Linked DNA regions of Alligator mississippiensis. The main gene of each other region encodes a partner of the protein of the gene in region 3 in a complex. Links are inferred from orthologs where the notes say so. Each region holds a gene or a part of one and is shown on either strand. Other genes may lie near its edges.

Evidence for each region.
Region 1: STX7 (region 3) and VAMP7 share a complex: the UniProt entries of both Homo sapiens proteins name them as parts of the SNARE complex. The link is inferred for Alligator mississippiensis from reciprocal best matches to the Homo sapiens genes STX7 and VAMP7.
Region 2: STX7 (region 3) and VTI1B share a complex: the UniProt entries of both Homo sapiens proteins name them as parts of the SNARE complex. The link is inferred for Alligator mississippiensis from reciprocal best matches to the Homo sapiens genes STX7 and VTI1B.

Annotation. Positions count from the first base shown.
Region 1 is NC_081831.1:35,659,376-35,666,842, forward strand, and holds the start of VAMP7 (vesicle-associated membrane protein 7), read right to left. Parts: upstream 3,075-7,467; 5' UTR 2,958-3,074; intron 2,703-2,957; exon of another isoform or gene 2,683-2,702; intron 2,632-2,682; exon of another isoform or gene 2,532-2,631; intron 1-2,531. Other genes in the region: DNA-directed RNA polymerases I and III subunit RPAC2, read left to right, coding at 3,940-3,978. UniProt on the Homo sapiens protein: Involved in the targeting and/or fusion of transport vesicles to their target membrane during transport of proteins from the early endosome to the lysosome. Required for heterotypic fusion of late endosomes with lysosomes and homotypic lysosomal fusion.
Region 2 is NC_081825.1:230,760,595-230,767,975, reverse strand, and holds the start of VTI1B (vesicle transport through interaction with t-SNAREs homolog 1B), read right to left. Parts: upstream 3,075-7,381; 5' UTR 2,980-3,074; coding exon 2,865-2,979; intron 1-2,864. UniProt on the Homo sapiens protein: V-SNARE that mediates vesicle transport pathways through interactions with t-SNAREs on the target membrane. These interactions are proposed to mediate aspects of the specificity of vesicle trafficking and to promote fusion of the lipid bilayers.
Region 3 is NC_081824.1:115,199,680-115,207,024, forward strand, and holds the start of STX7 (syntaxin-7), read right to left. Parts: upstream 3,034-7,345; 5' UTR 2,905-3,033; exon of another isoform or gene 2,899-2,904; intron 1-2,898. UniProt on the Homo sapiens protein: May be involved in protein trafficking from the plasma membrane to the early endosome (EE) as well as in homotypic fusion of endocytic organelles. Mediates the endocytic trafficking from early endosomes to late endosomes and lysosomes.

The DNA of each region.
Region 1 (7,467 bases), on a different chromosome or scaffold from region 3:
TCTTAGAAGGTAAAGACAGAGAATTTGAACTTTGCAGCACTTCCCCCCTAACCTTAGGCTTTTGATTACAAGTCAGCTGGAATGACTACTTCCATTCTCTCACTTGTCAGGAGAAAGTCTTTCCTCTCACCTCCTCTACTTTCAGTAAAGGCAAATAACTTAATATTTCTAAGTGCTGGTTAAACTTCTAACGGGTCTTTCACAGTCAGGAAAATCAAAGATAAATCTTATCTGCATAGTTATATCTATGAATTGTATACCTAGCCTATAGGCAAACTTATAGCCATTAGGCACCAGAAATGTAGATATAGCCATGCTCTACAAGACCCAAATCAAAGCTTCCTGAATGAAGATCTGAACCTACTAATTCAGGCTCCAAGTAAGCTCTCCAACTAGATAGGTGTTAAGACACACAAAGGCAACAAACTCCCAGCCCAAGATAAGGCAGAAAGGAGTAAGACCAGCCTTTACCATCTTCCTCTCCTCCAGGAGGGCCCTGCAGAATGGGGGGGGGGAAATCAGTGTATTAAACAAGTTGGTAGCCTGTACAGTCAAAGCAGAAATGCAAGAATCAGCAAGTAAGCAGAATTACTGCTTTCTGCAATAGCTGAAAGTTTCCCAGCAGTCTTTGAAAAAAGACCAAGGTGAACAGAAGTAATTCAGGAGGCAAGGAAAGCAACAAGAAATTGTGGGAGACAATGCCTTCTACAACACAGGCTGTCACCCTTACACAGAGTACATAGCCTGGAATGTATCCTTTGGACACAATAAAAATAAGCAGGAGCACTCTAAAAGGCTTGGGTTACAAGGAGCTACAACCCAAGTGTTGAAAAGTTTAGTTCTTGTCCTAGCAAAGGTAAAGGACCACTACAAAGAGAACATGACCATTATTAATTACTCGCATACCAAGAGGAGCACATTTGTCTTCTATAAGTAAGAAGATCCTGGCCAGAATTTTGACAGAGGAAGAAGAAATAACAGATGTAACAGTAGAGAGTACTGGGGAAAGTACTCTATGAACTCTCCTGAGGTCAAGAAAAAAAGTTTTCTCCAGCACTAATCAACATATGGTATGTTGCCATACGAGCAGTTAGCCAATCAGATCCAGGCCTTGTTCAAGAGGCTCTTTGAGCAACATTTGCAACAAAATTTAAAAGTGGCAACTTAAACCCAAAAGTGATCCAATGGTTCCTTTTAACTCTTCAATTTCTTAATTCCTTTACTCATTTTAAAATTATTCCACTTGTAAATCAAAGAGCTTCTACTTGCTAGATAGGCTAGAATTACACTATTAAAGAGCAACTGCTGTACTTCTAACACATGAAGACTTCTTTCTCAGTTTTTCCTCTTTAAAAAAATGTGACTATTGAAGGTCTCATTAACCAGGTGAATGTCTGCCCCTGATTTTGTAGCCTATTTAAACCTATAGCTTAAATGATATCAACTGACATCCAGTTCAAAAGGTTAACTAAACAGGTCAGTTTCATTCTCAGGCACCAACAGTCTTGGTGAGATCCAGCTGCTTAACTGCAAACCAAAGAGTTTTCCAAGGAACTGTGTATTAAATGTCACCAAAATATTGTTACTGCTCTGTTAAAAAACCCAAGTCTTGATTTCATGAGACAAGAACATAGGAGTTGCTATTTATTAGATCAGACCATGGGTCCATCTTACCAAGTCCCCATCTCACACAGTGGCAGGGTGTTGAAGCTGAAAGGGAGAGCAAACTGTGTCTGACCAGGGTTTGTTTCTTCACTGCCGCTCTCACTTGCAGCCTCCAGCACTTAAGGTCCAGGAAGTTCCAATTCAGGGGCTGTAGCCCTCCCTCTTAAGCTCCATAGCTACTGGTGGCCTTTTCCTCCAACAATTTGTCCAATGCCTTTTTGAACCTAGCTAAACTTGCAGTTTCCACAACATCTGGTGGCAATGAGCTCCACACTTTAATGCCACACTGTGTGAAAAAGAACCTCCCTTTGTTAGTCTTAAATTTACTACCTACTAAATTTATTTTGTGACCCCTTGTTCTTGTATTGAGAGTACATAATAAATACCCATTTACTTTCTCCTCACCATTTAGTGTTTTGTAAACCCTTATGTCCTTCTACAAGCATCTCTTATCAACTGAATAGTCTCTCCTCATACAGAAGCCGCTCCGTGCTGCTCATCACCCTTGTTGCCCTTCTCCAGGCCTTCTCTAGTTCTTTATATAGAGTTTGAGGCGAGGGGACCAGAATTGGGCACAGTAGTCAAGGTGTGGACACACTGGGGATTTATGAAGTGGCAGGAAGATATTTCTGGTTTTGTTTACAATCCTGTTCTTAACAATCCCCAATATAAGATTAAGGATTATAAAGCACAGGTAAGAATTTACAAGACATTTGCGGAAGGGAGAGAACCCTCTGCTGACAACACCCCCCCCCCCCCAAAACCCTGCTGCTCGCTAGCTAGCTCGCTCCCCACCACAGCAGGCCTTCGCTTGGCTTCTCCAACTCCTCCAACATAAAAGCCCACGTGCCCAATCACAAGCTCACCGATTTCCACAGCCCTCTGGTTTTTGCTTCCAGCAACCCAAATGCTAATGCGGGAACATGTTGCTCAATGCAGGTGCCTGGCTACAACACGGAGTCTCTTCTAGCAGTTGTGAAATTGGGGGGAGGGTAGAGGACGGCGTTACCCAATTACCTCGGGCTCCAGCATCAGCCGACACCACGGCCCCCCGCACTTCCGTCTCACCTTCCCCTTCCCAAGCCCACTCCACTTGTCCCAGCAGCTGCTTCCCGGGGCCCGCCAGGCAGCCCCTCCCGCCGCCCAACAGCGACACTGCGCAAGCAACTGACCGCGGGGGGGGAGGGGAGGGCAGCACCCGAGGGGCCGAGGAGCGCCGCGCCGCTAGCACAGGACGATGCCGCCCCCGCCCGGGGCTAACACTTCCCCCACCCACGCAGGGCCAGGCTCACCCGGGCCGGCCAGCGGCGACGTAAGGGCTGCAGCAGGAGCCCCCGCCCGGCGCGCTGTTTATCTGCTCCCGCCCCTTCGCCGCGGCGCTCGCTCCTCCCGGCCGGCACGTGCACTTCCGCCAGGGGCGCTCCCGACGCCGCGGGGGCTCCCGGGAAATGTAGTTCGGGAGGGGGCGGGAGAGCGGGACGGCTTCCGCGCTCGCCGCGCTGCCTGCTGGGAAGCGGCCCCCGTGTGGGCCGCCGCGCTGCCTGCTGGGAAGGGTAGTTCAGGTGGCGGGAGGGGCCGAGCGCCCCCTGCCGGCCGGGGCAGGCCGCACGCACGACCTCACACACGAGCCACGTGAAATGCAGCCGCGAAGGCGCGGTGGTGGCGGGAGCCGAGGCGGTCGGGCCCGGGCGTTCCGGGAGCGCCTCTGCTGCGCGCCCTGTGGCAGAGCCCGTGGTCTCCGGGCAGGATCTGGGCTGGGCTGACCCGGGTGCTCGGCCTGTGGGCGCGGCGCAAGCGGCTCCAGCGCCGACGGCGGCTGGCAGTACGGGCCCCTTGCTGCCCCTGTGCTGTCAGATCTAGGCCCCGGGTTGTGGGAACAGGGCCCCAATTGCCTCCAGCCCCCCCCGTGCCTGGATCGGTGCCGGGCTCCCCTGCGCCCCGGCTGCAGCCCAGGCGGCTCGCCAAAGAGCCAGGAGGTTGGCAGCAGGCGAGCCACTTCCAGTGCCGCTTCCCCCGGCTCCCGCACTTGCGCCTCACGGCCCAGCCCAATCGGAAACTGAGCAGCGGGCGCGGGACTGGGCGAGGCGCCGGCGCCGTCCCGGGCCAGAAGACGGAAGGCCCTTCGCGCTCCCCCACAGCGACCGCGGCGGATCCCGCGACTCCGGGAGCTGGGGCTTCCCCGAGACCGCAGGCCCCGGTCCGGACTACAGCTCCCAGCGGCCCCGGCGCCGGAGGGGTCGGCCCGGGCAGGCGCCCGCCCCGCACGCCGCAGCCATGGCCGAGGAGGTGGAGAGGAAGCCGGTGCTGGAGACGGTGAGTGCGGGCAGCCGCTGCCCCCGGCGCGGGGCGGAGCCGCCGCGCGGAGCGGGACCCGCTGTGCTCCGGGGCCGGGACCGGAGCGCGGGTGTCTGCGCGCCGCCGCCGCGCCACGTGCTCGCCTCCCCGGGGTTGTAACCACCGCGGCGGGGGGGGGCGGTGTTTTGTCGCATCTCCAAGGGGTTGGTTTCGCGCTGGTTCTGGTTCTCTCTTTGAATGAGAGGGGGGCGGGGCCAGGAGCTGGAGCTAGACAAGCAACGGGGAATTGGAAACGCGCGCCCCCGACAGCGCTGCTCGCCTGTTTGCACCTGCAGCTGTAGCCAGCAAGCGGCCTGGCCCAGGGAGGAGCCCGGCTGGGTTAATTTTCCTAAAGGGTCTGAGCACAGTTGCATCAGGTTTGAGGCTCATAAGGTCTTTTTGCAACTATGAGATGACTTACTGTTCTTCTAGTATCTGTCATCTCCATGAACTTTTTTTATGAATAAGGGGATCTTTTTAATGCAAGTTAAGCATTCCCAACATTGCTAATTAAGGTGTGGAAAATCTAGCCCTCAATCTAACCTGTGCTTTGGAACTGGAGTGAGCAAGAGGGCGGAGGGGCAGAGACTAGCTATAGAGCCGCAGGGGAGTTGCACATCTGCTCCTAATCTCTCGCCTGTTGTCATTTTGGAGACAGCGGGTGCATCTACATGAGACACTAACAGCCCAACAGCCTAATAATACTGTGCGGTAGCCCATTGCAGCACAAACAGTGCCAGTACACTACTGCCCAGTATTATTAGGCTACTGCACAGTAATGTCACTAAAAAGGTGTTCGCTGGAGCTACTGTTACTGCGCATTTATTTAGTACTTGATTGTTTACCCATCCTCTTGCAAAATATGAAACATCATAACCAGAAGGAAATAATTCATAGAGGTGCATTGATACATTGTTCCAATATCAGATCTGTACTGATATAAAAAAAATTGACTGTCGGAAATCGGCTTTTTTGCCTGATGTGGCGGCGCAGCAGGTGGGTGGTGAGGAGCGCAGCCTGGCAGCTTGCAGAGCTGCATCCAGCTGGTAAGTGGAGCTATGGCTTGTCTGAGGTGGGGCAGAGGCTCCCATCCCTATGCACATCCCAGGAGGGCACGGGTGGGATGTGTGCCCCCCAGATCTGCATGGGAGGGGTGGGCTGTCACTGCAGCGTGGGATCAGGGCTGCCTTGGGCTTTTCCTGGCAGGGGCTGGGTCAGACTGCTAACCGCACAGGGTGGGCAGTGGCGCTGGGTTTGGGCTACGGTGAATTTTGGGGTGGCTGCAGCCCCCACCCCATAACCCCTCTCCCAGTGCTGCTGCCGCCCACCCCAAGCACAGCACAGCTCAGCCCCTGCTGGGAAGAGCCTGGCGCAGCCCCTGCTCCAGCTCTCAGTGGCAGCCCCCTCCTTCCCATGCAGATGTGGGGCGACATGCCCCCCTGAGTCCTCCTGGGGTGCTGTCAGCAGCGGGAGCCCCCCCTCCCTGCACCCCCCAAACAAGCCATGGTTCCATCTTGTGTCCCACTCTGCCTTGGCTGGGCAACATCTGCCCCAGCCCCACTCCCTCCCTCCCTCCCCCTCCCTCCCTCACTACAGGGGCCTCGATCTGCCCCTGCCATGCCCCTTCCCTTCCACCTCCCCTTCCATCACAACAGACTTACCAGCCAGACACTGCTCTTTGCTGCTGGGCTGCGTATCAGAAATCGGATCGTATCGGATGATATGCATCTTTAAGCATCATTTGTTGGTATCAGCCCCAAAAAATCTCTCTTGGATGCACCTCTTTAACATACCACTTACTATCAGACAACTTCAAGGTAAATAGACTGCTCAAACTTTTTATCTGAGCTAAATTTGCACAAAATGAACTTTGCCAACCAGGAGATCTTATACCAGGGGTGGGCAATTATTTCAGGTGGAGGGCTGCTTACTGAGTTTTGGCAAGCCATCAAAGGCCGCATGACAGGGAGCAAGGGGCAGATAAATATTAATTTTCTAAATTTTTTAGGGGCCCGATGGGCAGGATAGAATGGCCTGGTGGGCTGGCCCACAGGCCATATTTTGCCCGCCCCTGTGACTTATACCTTCAACTGTCCTGTGAAATATGAATTTGCATTTCTGCCTAGGAGAAATTTTACCATCTTTGCATTTTCCTATGCCTGAAGAAGTGTGTGTGTACCCAAACGCTTGTGAATAAAGAATTTTTTTTGCAAATATCTTGTTGGTCTAATAAGGTATAACCTCTACCCAGAGTTCTGATTCCAGTAACCTAAATCCAGTTGAAACATCCTCTCTTGGAAAAATGTCTACTGGAGCTGAAAGTGGTATGAAAATTATGTAGCTAACTTTAATTGATCCAGCTCAGCAGTGGTGCAGTTAAATGGTTAATGTATGCTTCTAAAAATGCATTACACATGTGTATGGGGGGAAATTGCATTCCTTTGCAGCAGTGAATTACTTGGAGGTCAGTGCATCCCTGCATGTAAGGGAAGAATTTTTTTTTTCTCTGGGATTTGCAGAAGCATTGGGGGGCCATCCAGACCCACATTCAGGTTCATAGTCTACCAGTGGAAGTTGAGGGTGTTATCTGTCTACATCTGTCTCAGGGTAGTAGCTGTTTGCTAAAAGAAAATAATCTGTTAACTGTTTCCCCTCTGCTTAGTGGCAAGGTGTGGTAATAGCTCTGTACTGTATGCATTACCAAGAGAGAGCTGCAGATCTAGTCATCTTGCACCTAGTGTAATTTACAGAAATGTATAAAACCAACACCTATTCTACCAGGGATTGTTTTTGTGTTTGCTTGCCCATCCCCTGTAATAAGCTGTTTGTCAAGAGGTGTGAAAGTATGATTCAGAGTTAGGATTTCTTTTCTCCTCTTTAGAAACAAGAATAACTTTGTCCAGTGTTTATCTGCACCACAGCCTGTGATGCCAGTTTGTTCTGGTAACATCTTTTATGATGCTAAATAATATTGCTGACAAGTTAATAAGGTAGATTTGATTTAACTCAAATCGATTTTAAAGTGTCATTTAAATAACAATTTAAATCACTGGTCAGGAAGCCTCGATTTAATCATTGTTTTCTACAAAAAGTGCATCCTTGTTTGCAACCTTAATGCATATAATTCATAGATGTTAGGGTCGGAAGGGACCTCAATAAATCGACGAGTCCGACCCCCTGCATAGGCAGGAAAGAGTGCTGGGTCTAGAAGACCCCAGCTAGATGCTTATCTAACTTCCTCTTGAAGACCCCCAGGGTAGGCAGTGGGGTCCCGCAGGGCTCGGTCCTTGGACCGATACTCTTTAATGTCTTCATCAGCGACTTGGATGAGGGAGTGAAATGTATTCTGTCCAAGTTTGCAGATGACACAAAGCTATGGGGAGAAGTAGACACACCGGAGGGCAGGGAACAGCTGCAAGCAGACCTGGACAGGTTGGACAAGTGGGCAGAAAACAACAGGATGCAGTT
Region 2 (7,381 bases), on a different chromosome or scaffold from region 3:
ATACATGAGTTTCTCTTTTGTTGACAACCTGCTGGCTACACTAGAATTAAACCACCTAGAAAGATCAGGATTATGCTAGATGATACAGTCCTTCCTGGGCCAGTTTTATGGACAGCTTCAAAGACAATGACTAAAACCCTGAACTTGACCAATTGGCTGAGAGCTAGTTATGTGAAAGGAACAATTCTGTGTTACCAAGCCTACAATCTGCTGGATTCTAAACAAGCCATAGCCTTTTCTTAGGTTTCACTTCTCAGTTCACAGAGTTACAGAAAGTCAGCCCTGGTGGTCACAAGGCTATACTCCCATAGAACAATACTGTACATTGCTGGTTTGCCCTAGCCACTCCTCTAGTGGAGAAACAAAGCTGGCCAGACAGGCAGGAGGCAACTACGTGTCAGGCCATGCAACAAGAGAACATGCTGACTGCGAGGAGATTCGTCCACACTGGTAGAAATCCCTTCCTCTGGCTCCTTCCTTTTTTCAGTTCTTGAAATACACGATAAGCTCATCGTGGGACTTACAGGGAGACCAGCTGCCGGGAGGGAGGGGTGCTTTACCTACCACTAGCACCAGCCTCCCATTAAAACAAAGACATACAAGGAAAAGCATCCTCTTGCCAGCATCGCTTCCTGCACTGGATACTGCTATTGAGCCCATTTCTCATGAGCCAGTTTCCCTGAGCAGCGCAGGTCTCATACAGGAAAGAAAAGTAGTTTAGAGCAGTGGTGCAAGGATTGCCAGGTCTTAAATACAAATTATTATATTGGAAGCTCAAAATTATTATATTTGCTGAAAAACTATCGTACACTGAAAAAATATGCAACTAAGTATGCAAATAAGTCATCTTCTTACTTACTGTAAGTTGCCAGTGAGCAAGTAAGAACTGGGTCAAACTCAAAACATTTCTTTATTTTAAGGCAAGCAGCCATAAGAAAGTCCTGTAACAAGCCCAAAATGTAGAGGGAATCCAAATTCCAAGACTTCCGGGCTTAAGCCTGCACGTAGGATGCTTGCCAATTAGAGGTGCACCGACTGGTTCATATCGGACTGGCACCGATAAGAAGAAAACTGACATTATCAGCAATCAGCTTTTTTTGGCTAGTGTAGCCAATAATGTCACCAATAAATGCTGCATGGATCTGCGCAGGCACAGCATGCATGTGGCCAGGAATGCAGCCTGGCAGCTTGGAGAGCAGCATCCAGGCAATAAGTCTGTGGTAGGGAAAGGCAGGGGCATAGGGCTGCAGATCGAGGCCCCCACAGTGAGGGAGGGAGTAGGGCTGGGTCAGGGGCTGCCCAGTCAGGACAGGGCAAGAAGTGGGATGGAGCTGCAGGTGGCTAGTCCGGGGGGGGGGGGGGGGACGGACACGACACAGCTCCCTGATGCTGTGCACACCTCTGGGGGAGACATGGGGGCATGCGTCCCCCAGATTTCTGCATGCAGCGGGCTGTTCACTGCGGGCTCAGGGCCAGGGGCTGCACCAGCCTCTTCCTGGTGGGGGGCTAGGTGGGACTGGGGCTGTACGTGGGGTGGGTGGGGGCAGGACAGGCAACAGCAGCACTGGGGGCAGGGGCTACAGGGAAAGCTACAGCCACCCCAAAATTAGCTGTAGCCACTCCATAGCCTCCCACTCCCAGGGCCACTGCCACCCACCCCAGCCCTGCCTGCCCTGAGCACAGCCCCGGCCCAGCTCTCCCGCCAGGAAGAGGCTGGCGCAGGCCCTGGCCCCAGCCCACAGTGGGCAGCCCTCCCTGTCCCGTGCAGAAATCCAAGGTACACATGGCCTCCATGCCTCCCACAGATTTGCGCACAGTGGCGGGAGCTGCCCCCCCTCGCTGCGCCTCCGTCCCACATCCCACCCCAGCTGGGCAGTGCCTGCTCCTGCCCCACTCCCTCCCTCACCAAGGGGGCCTTGATCTACCCCCGCCATGCCCCTTCCCTCCCCCTCCCCTTCCACCCCACAGACTTACCAGCTGGACCATGCTCCCCAAACTGCTAGGCTGCATGTCAGCAATCAGATCTGCATCAGCCAATATAGCTGGTTAACAATTGATCATCAGTATCAGCCAAAAAAATCTTTATCGTTGCACCCCTACTGCCAATGGACTTGGGAGTATCTGAAGTCCTCAGGAGACAGCCTGGGACAGAGGACGCTCACGGGTTCTAGCGCCACACACGGTGTTCAGAATGATCGAGTTCTGCCAGCTCAGTCGACGCGGGCTTTGAAACGATTGAGTTCTGGCTCAATTGATAGGATTTGGCTAGTTTGACCTGGAACACGAACAATATTAACAAAAAACTTCCCAAGAGCGCCTTGGGTTTTGCATATGCTGCCTCAATGAGCTGCCTCAAAAGTTATTGGACATTTTGAACACTTTTACTACTGTTGAGTGTATATCATACGAGGGTTGAAATGATGGCACAAATACAGTAATGCCTGCACACCCACAGGGTCACCAATCTGTTTGAATATATTCCGTGAGGTTTCACATAAGGACTTTAATTACAGCGTGCAGATTTACATCAGCAAGGCAAATGCACATTACTGTTACATTTTAAAAGCGCACTGGACTACTGTATTTAACATTTATTTTAAAGAGTGCCCCATCATTTACCCCCTGGGTGACTCCCAGCAGTCTCCTGGAGATTCACAGATAATCCCTGGGATCCAAGGCAATCCTGGAGGGGTGGCACTGGCACCCTACACACGCGGCTACACTGAGAGGTGCTCGGACGCTGTGGCGGGCACCCCGATGGGCAGTGCCGGGGCAGTACCCGGCCCGGATCCAGCGGCACAGTGGAAGTGGAAGGGGCCGGGGCCGGGCCGGCAGCTCCCCCGACCCGGGCCGCACTCACTCACCGGCCAGGCCGCCCCGTAGGCGCTCGGGGAGGACGCGCAGCTGCCCGTGCAGCTCCCGGAAGATCTCGTGCAGCCGCTCCAGGTGCTCGGAGGAGCCCGGGCCCCGCACTGCCATGACGGCGATGACAGAGGCAGCCCCTGCCCAGACCCTGCCGCCCGCTCCGCGCCGCTACTTCCGGGATGTGTGAGAGGGGGCCTCCCTCTGTCTCGCGAAGGGGGTGCCCTAATTGGCGCCTGATCAGAAAAAAAAAAAGAAGGAAAAAAAAAAAAAGCTCCGTCCGGAGCAAGCTGAAGGCAGGCTCCAGCTGCCTGTCGAGGAAGAGTCGGGGGGAGATATTCGGGAGGTCCAACTTTGCTCCCAACGGTGACTAACGAATCAAGCGCGCACTTACGTCACCTTAGAGGGCATCATCAGGACCCCGGGGCGCGCAGGGCATGCTGGGAATTGTAGGCCGGCGTAGGGACAGTCATAAGGCGGTCACGGGAGTGCCGGGCTAGTGCGGACGGCGGCGTGGTTCTATGCGGATGCGCTCAGATGACTCCAGCCAGGTGTCCAATCTCCTTTTAAGCACCTCCAGGGAAAGGAACAGCACCACCTCTCTTGGAGCTTATTCTGTATTTTGGCAACCCTCACTATAAAGGTTTTATTTCCTGATGTCCAATCTGAATTTGCTGTCTTCCAGTTTGTGGCCATTATTTCTACTTACCCTGACAGCCGCACTGGTAAACATTGTATCCCCTATTTCTTGCTAACCCCCCCCCCCAATGAGTTTGTAGGCGCCCATGCAATTACCTCTCAGCCTCCTCTTACGGAGGCTGAAGAGGTTCAGTTCTCCCAGTCAGTCCACTTAGGGGGTTTTCTGTAGGCCTTTAACCAGATGAGTGGCCCTCCTCTGAGCCCTCTCCAGGCCATCCGCATCCTTCCTGAAGTGTGGTGCCCAAAACTGGATGCAGTACTCCAGCTGTGGCCTGACCAGTGCTGCATAGAGGGGAAGTATCACCTCCCTAAACCTGTTTGTGATGCACCTACTTATGCAAGACAGGGTGCGGTTAGCTTTACTTAACTATCTCATCACACTGGTGACTCATGTTCATTTTGGAGTCGACTAAGACTCCGCGATCCCTTTCTGCAGTTGTGTTACTGACACTTATCCTTGTTAAACTGCATCCTATTCTGTTCGGTCCATTTCCCCAGCCTGTCCAAATCAGCCTGGATTCACTTTGTGCCGTGTAGTTTGTGTACATCAGGCACAGAGGGAGATGATCCCGATGGGAGGAAAAAGAGGGAAAGGGGCCAGGAGGCTTCCTTGGCTGACCACAGAAATCCAGGGCAGCCTAAGGGCCAAAAGGGGAGCACATAAAAAGTGGAAACAGGGAGAGATCACCAAAGATGAGTATACCTCCTCTGCTCGTGCTTGTAGGGAGGCAGTTAGACGGGCCAAAGCTACCATGGAGCTGAGGATGGCATCCCAAGTAAAGGACAACAAGAAATTGTTTTTTAGATATATAGGGAGTAAAAGGAAGGCCCAGGGTGGAATAGGACCCCTGCTAAATGGGCAGAAACAATTGGTGACGGACAGAGGGGACAAGGCTGAACTCCTCAACGAGTTCTTTGCCTCAGTGTTCCTAAGTGAGGGGCACGACAAGTCTCTCACTGGGGTTGTAGAGAGGCAGCAGCAAGGCGCCAGACTACCGTGCGTAGACCCTGAGATGGTGCAGAGTCACTTGGAAGAACTGGATGCCTTTAAGTCAGTAGGCCCGGATGAGCTCCATCCGAGGGTGCTGAAGGCACTGGCCGACATCATTGCACAGCCAATGGCGGGAATATTTGAAAGCTCGTGGCGCACGGGCCAAGTCCCGAAGGACTGGAAAAGGGCCAATGTGATCCCCATTTTCAAGAAGGGGAGGAAGGAGGACCCGGGCAACTATCGGCCAGTCAGTCTCACCTCCATCCTTGGCAAAATCTTTGAAAAAATTATCAAGGCTCACATTTGCGAGAGCCTGGCAGGACAAATTATGCTGAGGGGAAACCAGCACAGGTTCGTAGCAGGTAGATCCTGCCTGACTAATCTAGTCTCTTTTTATGACCAGGTTACGAAACGCCTGGACACAGGAGGAGGGGTGGATGTCGTATACTTAGACTTCAGGAAGGCCTTCAATATGGTATCTCACCCCATACTGGTGAACAAGTTAAGAGGCTGTGACTTGGATGACTACACAGTCCGGTGGGTGGTGAATTGGCTAGAGGGTCACACCCAGAGAGTCGTGGTGGATGGGTCGGCGTCGACCTGGAAGGGTGTGGGCAGTGGGGTCCTGCAGGGCTCGGTCCTTGGACCAATACTCTTTAATGTCTTCATCAGCAACTTGGACGAGGGAGTGAAGTGTACTCTGTCCAAGTTTGCAGATGACACAAAGCTATGGGGAGAAGTGGACATGCCAGAGGGCAGGGAACAGCTGCAAGCAGACCTGGACGGGTTGGACAAGTGGGCAGAAAACAACAGAATGCAGTTCAACAAGGAGAAATGCAAAGTGCTGCACCTAGGGAGGAAAAATGTCCAGCATACCTACTGCCTAGGGAATGACCTGCTGGGTGGCACGGAAGAGGAAAGGGATCTTGGAGTCCTAGTGGACTCCAAGATGAACATGAGTCGGCAGTGTGACGAAGCCATCAGAAAAGCCAATGGCACTTTATCGTGCATCAGCAGATGCATGACGAATAGATCCAAGAGGTGATACTTCCCCTCTATTGGGCGCTGGTCAGATCGCAGTTGGAGTACTGCATGCAATTCTGGGCACCGCACTTCAAGAGAGATGCAGATAACCTGGAGAGGGTCCAGAGAAGGGCCACTCATATGGTTAAGGGCTTGCAGACCAAGCCCTACGATGAGAGACTAGAGAACCTGGACCTTTTCAGCCTCCGCAAGAGAAGGTTGAGAGGCGACCTTGTGGCTGCCTATAAGTTCATCACGGGGGCACAGAAGGGAATTGGTGAGGTTTTATTCACCAAGGCACCCCCGGGGGTTACAAGAAATAATGGCCACAAGCTAGCAGAGAGCAGATTTAGACTGGACATTAGGAAGAACTTCTTCACAGTTCGAGTGGCCAAGGTCTGAAACGGGCTCCCAAGGGAGGTGGTGCTCTCCCCTACCCTGGGGGTCTTCAAGAGGAGGTTGGATATGCATCTAGCTGGGGTCATCTAGACCTAGCACTCTCCTGCCTACGCAGGGGATCAGACTCGATGATCTATTGAGGTCCCTTCTGACCCTAACATCTACGAATCTATGAATCCCCCCATAGTTCGGTGTCATCAGCAAGCTTGGACAGGGTGCTTTCTACTCCCTCGTCCAAGTCACCAATGAAGATAATTGAATAGGAGTGGTCCCAGGACAGAGCCTTAGGGGACTCCACTACCTACATTTCTCCAGGTAGAAACTGACCCACCTACCACCACTCTCTGGGTGTTTCTACCTGCCGGACCCTGTAATAATCTATATTGCAACTGTTTAGTTTATTAATAGGAATTGGGTGGGACACTATGTCAAAGGCCTTTTTAAAATCTAAGTAAATAACATCTACTTCTACTCCTCCATTCAAGCATTTTGTGACCTGGTCATAAAATGAAACCAGGTTAAGTCAGGCAGGATCTGCCTGCTATGAACACATACTGATTGCCCCTTAGCATCATTTTACCCACTGGTCCCCCACAAATGTTATCCTTAACAATTTTCTCAAAGGTCTTGCCAAAGATAGAGGTAAGACTAACTGGCTTATAGTTACCCGGTTCATCCTTCCTCCCCTTCTTGAAAATAGGGACCACATTGGTCCTTTTCCAATCCTCTAGGACGAGGATGCTCAAACAGTTGTGCCAGCGGCTCCACTATGACTCCAGTTAATTCCCTAAGTACTCTAGGACGAAGATCATCAGGACCTGTTGACTTAAATACATTCAACCCCTCCAGGTGCCCCATTACTAGGTCAGCAAAAACAGTTGGTGGGTTGGTATCTATACTGGGCTTACCTAAGGTCCTAATGGGATTCATAGATTCACAGATGAAGGGTCAGAGGGGACCTGAGCAGATCATCAAATCCGACACCCTGCCCTGGGCAGGAATGAATACTGGGCTCATATGACCCCTACTAAGTTTAAGCTCATATGACCCCAGCTAGGTAGTTATCAAGCCTCCTTCTAAAAACCCCTAACATAGGAGCCAGCACCACTTCCCTTGGAAGCTGGTTCCAGATCTTGGCCGCCCTGACTGTGAAGTAGCGCCTCCTCATGTCTAGCCTGAACCTACTCTCTGTCAACTTATGGCTGTTATTCCTTGTTATTCAGGGCAGCGCTCAGGGGAACAGGGTCTCTCAGATTCACCTCTGGTCCTCCCTGGTAAGTTTCTAGATGGCCACTAGATCCCCTCTCAGCCTTCTCTTGTGAAGGCTGAACAGGTTCAGGTCCTGTAGCCTCTCCTCGTAGGGTCTGCCCTGCTGTCCCCTGATCATGTGAGTGGCCCTCCGCTGGA
Region 3 (7,345 bases):
GTGTTAGTACAGAATTTGCCACAGTTCTCACAAATCTATTTCCTAATCTCAAACAGGCTTTTTGGGAACTACTACAATAAAATACAATTAGCTATGTTCCTTAAGAGCTTCCCTTCAAGTTAAGTTTGTTTTGTTGGCATGCATTCTAAAAAAAGTCAAATATGTAAAACTTAAGTAACATATCCCCTTACAGAAGGATATAGTTTTCATTGTGTGTACTGGAGACATGTAACCTTACAGGGAAGCTTTACTAAAGAATTTAGGAATCCTCATACTAGTTTCAGTTTAAGGGACTTTTAATGCTTCTCCCCTATTTGTTTGCAGCATTTATATAAAAAGCCTCCTGCCCTGATGTAAATATTTTTCTGCCTCAAGAACATATAATTAATAAATGCATTAGTCAGTAGTCACTGACCCAATTGATATAGGCACCTCAACTTTCTTGCCTGTTGTTTCTAGATTATTTTTTCCTCCAACTATTTTCCATTATACATATAATTAATTATCCCTGAAGCTAACATGACACAAAAATGTATCCATTCTGGGACTAAGTGCTCTAAATTTCTTCTGATAAAACCTTAACTAAGAATCCAGTGTTTACATTTCACACAGAATAGACAATAGAGCCAGACATATCACTCCCACTTTTGTTTCTAGACTTGTGAACTGTCTTGTTCTCAGGCTGAGAAAGAGAAGTGTAGAAGCTTTTCAACAGCAAAGGCCCCAGTAGCACTGTACCAGGAACGTGAAAAATCCATATAATTTACATGGAAAGTTAAGTTCCATTGTCATATACACACACATGATTACTGCAGTTGTCCATACTTGAATCTCTGTCCATATTTTCCTTAGAAGTAGTCCAAGACTGAAACAACAGTCTTGTTGCATATAAAGAACAAATTATGGCACAGAGATGATGCCCATTTTCAAGGCCGACCGATTCCCTCCCCCTCTACTACTGAATGCTAAAGTTGTCCTAAACCACATAAGTAAAACTTGACTTCAGATTCTTCAAAAGGAAAGTCCCTTGAATTTGGGGGCAAGAAAAAGGTCATTTAAACTATCATTTGGAGGTCATGGCATTAGAAGAGTGGTTCTCAACCTTTTTAGACTCAAAGCAACCCTGGAGAGACTCAACCCTTCAGAAAATGCCAGCTTCATTTTTCTGACTACAGAAAAATGATAGAGCAATTCTTTTTCCAAGAACTCAGAAAAACCGCAACAATGCATTTCTATTTGAAACTTCTGGGTTTATTTCATGAGTCACATCTGTAAACCTAATAGCACTGAAACTGCATGGTACCCCATGGCCCCCCTGAAAGGATCTCAAGGAACCCCATGATGCCGTGGCTCTGTGGCTGAGAATCGCTGTTAGAAACAAGGTAAATCCAAGTAGACTTTACAACTTCTCATCGTAAGCAAGACCTACATACACTTCTGCATCTCACATAGGACCACAGGATTATTTTTTACATGAGGCATCAAGCTAGATAAGAGCAGGGAAGGTGAGTTTAAACATGGCTGATTATTTACACATGAGTAGTATATGTGTATGGGGTTTAGGGCACAAGACCCTTGAGATCCCTTCCAACTCTGGAAGCCTTCAGCTGGCCTCTGAGATCAGCATCAGGAAAAGAGGCCATATGTGCATGTACATCTGTGCATGTGTGCGTACACATATTACATATAATGTATATGATACAGATGTGTACACACACATACACAGACATATACATACCCACTACATATAAAGTCTACATACACTATGTGTGCACATGCATGTGTATACAGGCCCATACAATGTATGTACACTATATATGTGTGCACATGTGTATACACACCTATATAATGTATGTACAGTATATACATTTGTGCATGCACGAGCATGTGTGCATAGGCATATACGCTGTATATATACCTACATGCATTATATATGATCTACAACACACATGCACACACATCTATACATATATGCACCCACACTGCATACTTTAGATTGATGGCTAGACAGATATAGTGTATACACATTATTAAAGTGTGTATACACACATATATACATATACACCCCCCCAACATTACACTATATATATATATATATATATATATATATATATATATATATATATATATATATTAGTGATAGAGATGGATAGGTAGGTAGGTACAGCATAGGCACATTATGTAGGTATGTGTATATCCATACATATACAGTATGCATCCACACTGTTTAGAGCTAGATAGATAGCGTATAGACACATTGAATAGGTCAGCGGTTCCCAACCTTTTTTTCCCCGCCATGCCCCGCTGCTGGGAGCGGCATGTGGTGGCCCAGGGAGCCCCTGGCACACGGTGCGGCGGCTCATCTTTTCTGTGCAGTGCTACCAGCATTGCCCATGACCCTCATTTGGGTCGTGGCCTGGGGTTGGGAACTGCTGCTATAGGTAAACACGCACACATATATACATACGCATGTGTGGGGGTGTGTACATATCCACCCACCCACATATACAGAGAATGTACACGTATTACACAGCTGTGTAATTTTTTTTGCAAAAAAAATCTTGTTGGTCTAATAAAATATATAATCTCTTACTACGAGTCCTGATTGCACATAGCTGTGTATACACGTACAGACACACAGACACCCACACACACCCTCGCCCGGGCCTCGGCGGGCTGCTTCCCCCTTGGCGGCGGGGCCGGGCCGAGGCCGGAGCGGAGCGGAGCGGGGCGCGGCGCTGCCTCTCCCGCCGCGCCGCGGGGCCAGGAGCCCGCCCGGCCCGGGACCCCCAGCGCGGGGGGCCAGAGGGCTGCCCCGCCCCGCATTGCACTGCACCGCCTAGCCCGGCCCGGCCCAGGGCGGTGGCCCCTGCACGCCCCACTCCCAACGCCTCTTACCCTCACCCCGGCGTCACCTCCGCTGCTGGTCCTGCTGCCCCGGCAGCTCACGACCCCAGACCTGCCCGGCCCGGCCCGGCCCAGCAGGCGCTGCCAGCTGCTGCAGTGTCAGCGGGCGGGGCGGGGCGGAGCGGGGCGGAGCGGAGCGCGGCGGTCCTGCCCGCCCCAGCCGGCTGTGGGGCGGTGCCTGCAGCGACCTCCCCGCCTCGCCCCGCCCCGCCCCGCCCCGCCCGCACTGGGGGCGGCTGTGCCGGGCTCGGGCCAGTCCTGGGTTTTGGGAAGGGTGGCGCATCCTGTGACGAGCTAGTTGTTGGGGCTGGTGCTGCTTTGAGGGGTTGGGCTCGATGCCCTCCTGAGGTCTGTTGCAGCCCTCCTCTTCTGTGAGCCTGTGATCCTGGCACTGCACCTGCTCACTCCCCCGTTCAAATGGAAAGGAGAGGCTTTCCCACTAGGCTGGGGCCGCAGCGCTGCCTTCTTCAGCTGCAGCAGGAGGCAAAAAAACAAATAAGGCCCCTTTTAGAGCGTGTTAAAAACCCGTCGGCCGCTGCAGAAGCCCCTAAAGCGGCGTTCCCCAATGTGTGGGTCGCGACCCAGAAGTGGGTGGACTTGAACAAACTTGAAAAAGGGATTGGCCTTTAAAGGAGGAAAATGTTGGAAACCGGGTGTTTTCCCTTGCAGGCTGGCAGAGGTGCAGCCTACAAGGGGCTGCTTGCCCCCTCCCTCCTCCCCCATGCCTCACCCACCCACACACACTGGGGGAGCAGGTCAGGAGTGCAGGGCCCTGGACCTAGACTGGCCATTGCTGTTTACAAATGGGTCCTGGTACAAACAAAAGGTTGAGAACCAGTGCCCTAATGGACAGCAGGGTGAAAAGAAAGCAGAAGAAAGGCTAGGTTGCTGGCTGGAGCCTCCAGAGCATGAAAAAAGATGGGAAGGTTGTTCACCCGTCACATGAAGGGCTTAGGAAGGATCAGGGACAATGAGCCACAACGTCAAGCAAGTCCCTCAGTGCTGCCTGACTCAAAATGCTGCCACTTCCATTGGACGGTAGGGCTGCTCTAGGACAGTGCAAAGCAGGGTATGGATGATGTGGCACTTTATCACATAAGACACTACACATCTTTTCCTCCAGTTAAAAGAGTCATTAACATCACCTATGTCTGTCCCCTGATAAAGGGCTGTTCAATGGGTGGCCTGGAGGCCACATGTGGCCACCAAGGGGTTGTCTTGCAGCCATGGGTTTTGAAAAGGGCTGTGCAACTGATATGGTGCATCACCACAGATGACACTTTTTTGTCCCAGTTAAAAGAGGAACTGGAAGCTTTACTAATACGCTAGAGGCCTCGTGCTATATTATTCAGTTTAAGATCAAAGCAAAAACAAATCTAACTTTATTAGCATGTTCCCTCATTTGCTAGATTCTAAATTAAGTTTAAAAAACACAAGAAACTAGACAAAAATGGTCAAAATAGTCAAGATACTGTGCCATTAGTCCTCCAGTCATCATTGTTAAATGTACATCTCTTATTCAAATTGGTAAAACAAAATCTGCTCTTCCTGAGAGTTTTGAGAGTGCCTCCAATACTTCACTGTCAGTTGTTTCTACACTGAATTAATATTACTACACCTGAGTTAAGGTTTTTAGCTGGAGCTAGAAAACAGTCTGCTGGGCTTTGAAATAGAAGAGAGATATTACCAGGAATGGCTGGCAGACAGCAAACTTGCAGAAAGACGGTTTGAATAGTGGAACATCAAAGACATTAAAATGTAGAGAGGGTCGTTAACCCCTATGGAATGAAGAGACATTAGCAGGAATCAGGTAGATTTTAGTAAGCCGTGAAGTAAATTGACTCCCTCAGTGTTGCCTGATTAGAAATGGAACCAGTAGGTTGGTTTTTAAGTTTGGGTACAGCAGGAATCAAGGAGGGGTGCAACTGCACCACTGCACCCCCACTACATCTGCTGCTGGACAGGGTGATCCTCATGGCAGGTCCCTTGGCCCCACCTGGCCCAGGGTCAGGAGGTAGCCTAGGCACTGCAGACAATGCATGCAGCTGGTCCTGCCACCCTGGGTGCAGAGGTGCCACCCGGCATAAGGTACAACCTGCCCTATCCCTAAATGCAGCTCTTGGGCACACCAGAAGCTGTAGTCTGGGGGCTGGGTGGCACGGCAATGGGGTAGCAGCTGTGGCAGCATGGTGGCCTGACTCTGCTTCCCGGCAGTCCCCATGATGGCAGTTCGCTCTGCCCTCACGCTTCCAGCTGCCACTGCCAGTGTTTCCACCACCACTACTGGACCCAGTCCTGCTGCCCAGGCACCCTGGCCCATCCACCCTGCACCTACTGATCAGAATGGGCAAGCAAGTGGGCAAGGTCTCCATGGAGTTTGGCTCAGGGCCCCCGCAAACTGGGCAAGCTCAGCCAAGCTCAGCCAAGTGAATGGGATGGGGTCATGGGCAGGTCGGGAGCAGAGTCTGGGAGTAGAATGGGTAGCTGGGGCCAGGGCTGGGTTCACAGGGCAGTGATAGAGTGGGGCCAGGGCCCAAGGCAGAGCCATGATCTGCTCCTCACATGTCCCTGCAACAGGCACTGCTCCCTGCCTACTCACGGCCCTATTCCATCTGCCTGGCCAAGCACACCCTGCCCCCAGGGGTCCTTGGTCAGTCTTTATGGAGACCCTGCCAGCCTGTTCTGTCCAGTGCCCCTGGTTGTGGATGCGGGGCCGATGGGCCTCGGGTCAGACAGGATCAGTTAGCATCTTCCCAGCCCCCCACCCCACCCCATGCACCCTGCCAGGCAGTGTAAACAGCTGTAACGGGGGGGCAGAGGCCAGGTCAGCACTACCCCCCTCCTCTCCTCTGGCCCTCCACATCTCACCAAAACTCCTTAAGTGGCCCTCCAGCCCAAATAATTGCCCACCCCTGTCTTAGTAGAATTTTAAATGCCAACTTGAACAAAAAATTGTGGAACAAGTTCCTCAGACTGGCTTGTGTGAAGCATAGTCTAAACAGGGATCCTTATCCCATTACCTGGATTAGCTTTAGTGACCCCTTCATCCATACAAGTGCATTATTTGTTTGCCCCTCTGAGCACTGCCCCTTTCCCCTACAGTCTCCAGCCTCCCTTCCTTCCCTGTCTTTTGCATCAAAATCACGCAGTGCTGGTATTGCTCAATCTTTTGGCCCCATGGGCTAGGTAAGTGTTGCAGGGCTGGTCTGTGGGCCAAACTGGGGTCTGTGCTGCCTCTGCCAGATCTCTGCCACCTCGCTCAGATTTGCACCATCTTGCTCAGATCCGTGCTACCCTGATCAACTTTATGCTGCCCTGCTCAGCCCTATGCCATCCCACTCAGCCATGTGCCATGCTACCCTGGGACATCCCACTCAGCCTCATGCACTCAGTCTAGTACACAGGGTCATGCTGTCCAGCCCATAGGGCTCCCCCTGGGTCTAGAAATATGACAACAGAGGAGGAGCAATTAGCTGCCACCACTCCCCTGCCACCAGATTTTCAAACCCAGGCAGAGTCCTATGGACCAGATCCAGCCCACAGGCCAGGGCTTCAGCATTCTGATTTATTTGGTAGCCTGCTCTCTGCATGCCCTTTCTTAGCATCTGATAAAGTTGGCTCTTACTATGAAAGCTTATGCATCTCTGATTCAGTTAATCTGTAAGGTGCATCTCTACCCTGCCTTCTTCAGTAAGCAATAATGCCACAATTCTAATAGCTGAGGCATGCTTCACACACATACTGAGCTAAGCCTTCTAGCCAAGACCTCACTATTTCCACAGAAGTGGTTGGTAGTACCATCAATAGTACACATTGTATGCTCACTTTGCATCCATGGTGTCCATGCAGTATCTTATCCAGTGATTTTATTTCTGAAAACAATCTTAAATCTCAACTCTTCAGTCATTACTATTTCAATAAGGTATAACTAAAATATGTGTATTTAAAAAAATCACATAAGCACACAACTCCAAGTCAATGGCCAATTAAGTAAGTTTTTAAATAGCCATGTTTTCTGTGGAAATCAAATAGAAACACATTTTTAATTTTCGCTTGCCTGTTATAAAGATATGTGGGAAATGTTACCACTAGAAAAATGCATTAACAGAGCTAAGAACCGGCTCCTTCTTGGTTACATAAGCACCTCAATGGGACTTACCTGGAATTTAGGTGCCCATGTTCCAAATACTGATTTCTATTGGCTCTGTTCCAGCAGCCCCAGAGTTCAGTAGGTGCCCACATTCAGATGGCACTTGGACTCCATTTTGGACTCCAAAATTTCTTGGGTACTTTGCCTGCACTTGGTGTTTGAATATGCACAGACGTGATTCAAGTTGATCACTTGTTCATCTAAGTCTCCTCCTGTCCAGTCCCTCCTTCCAATCAAGAGTGGTTTTAGGGCAATGCCGAAGTTCCTAATCTTCTAGTCAAAATTGTG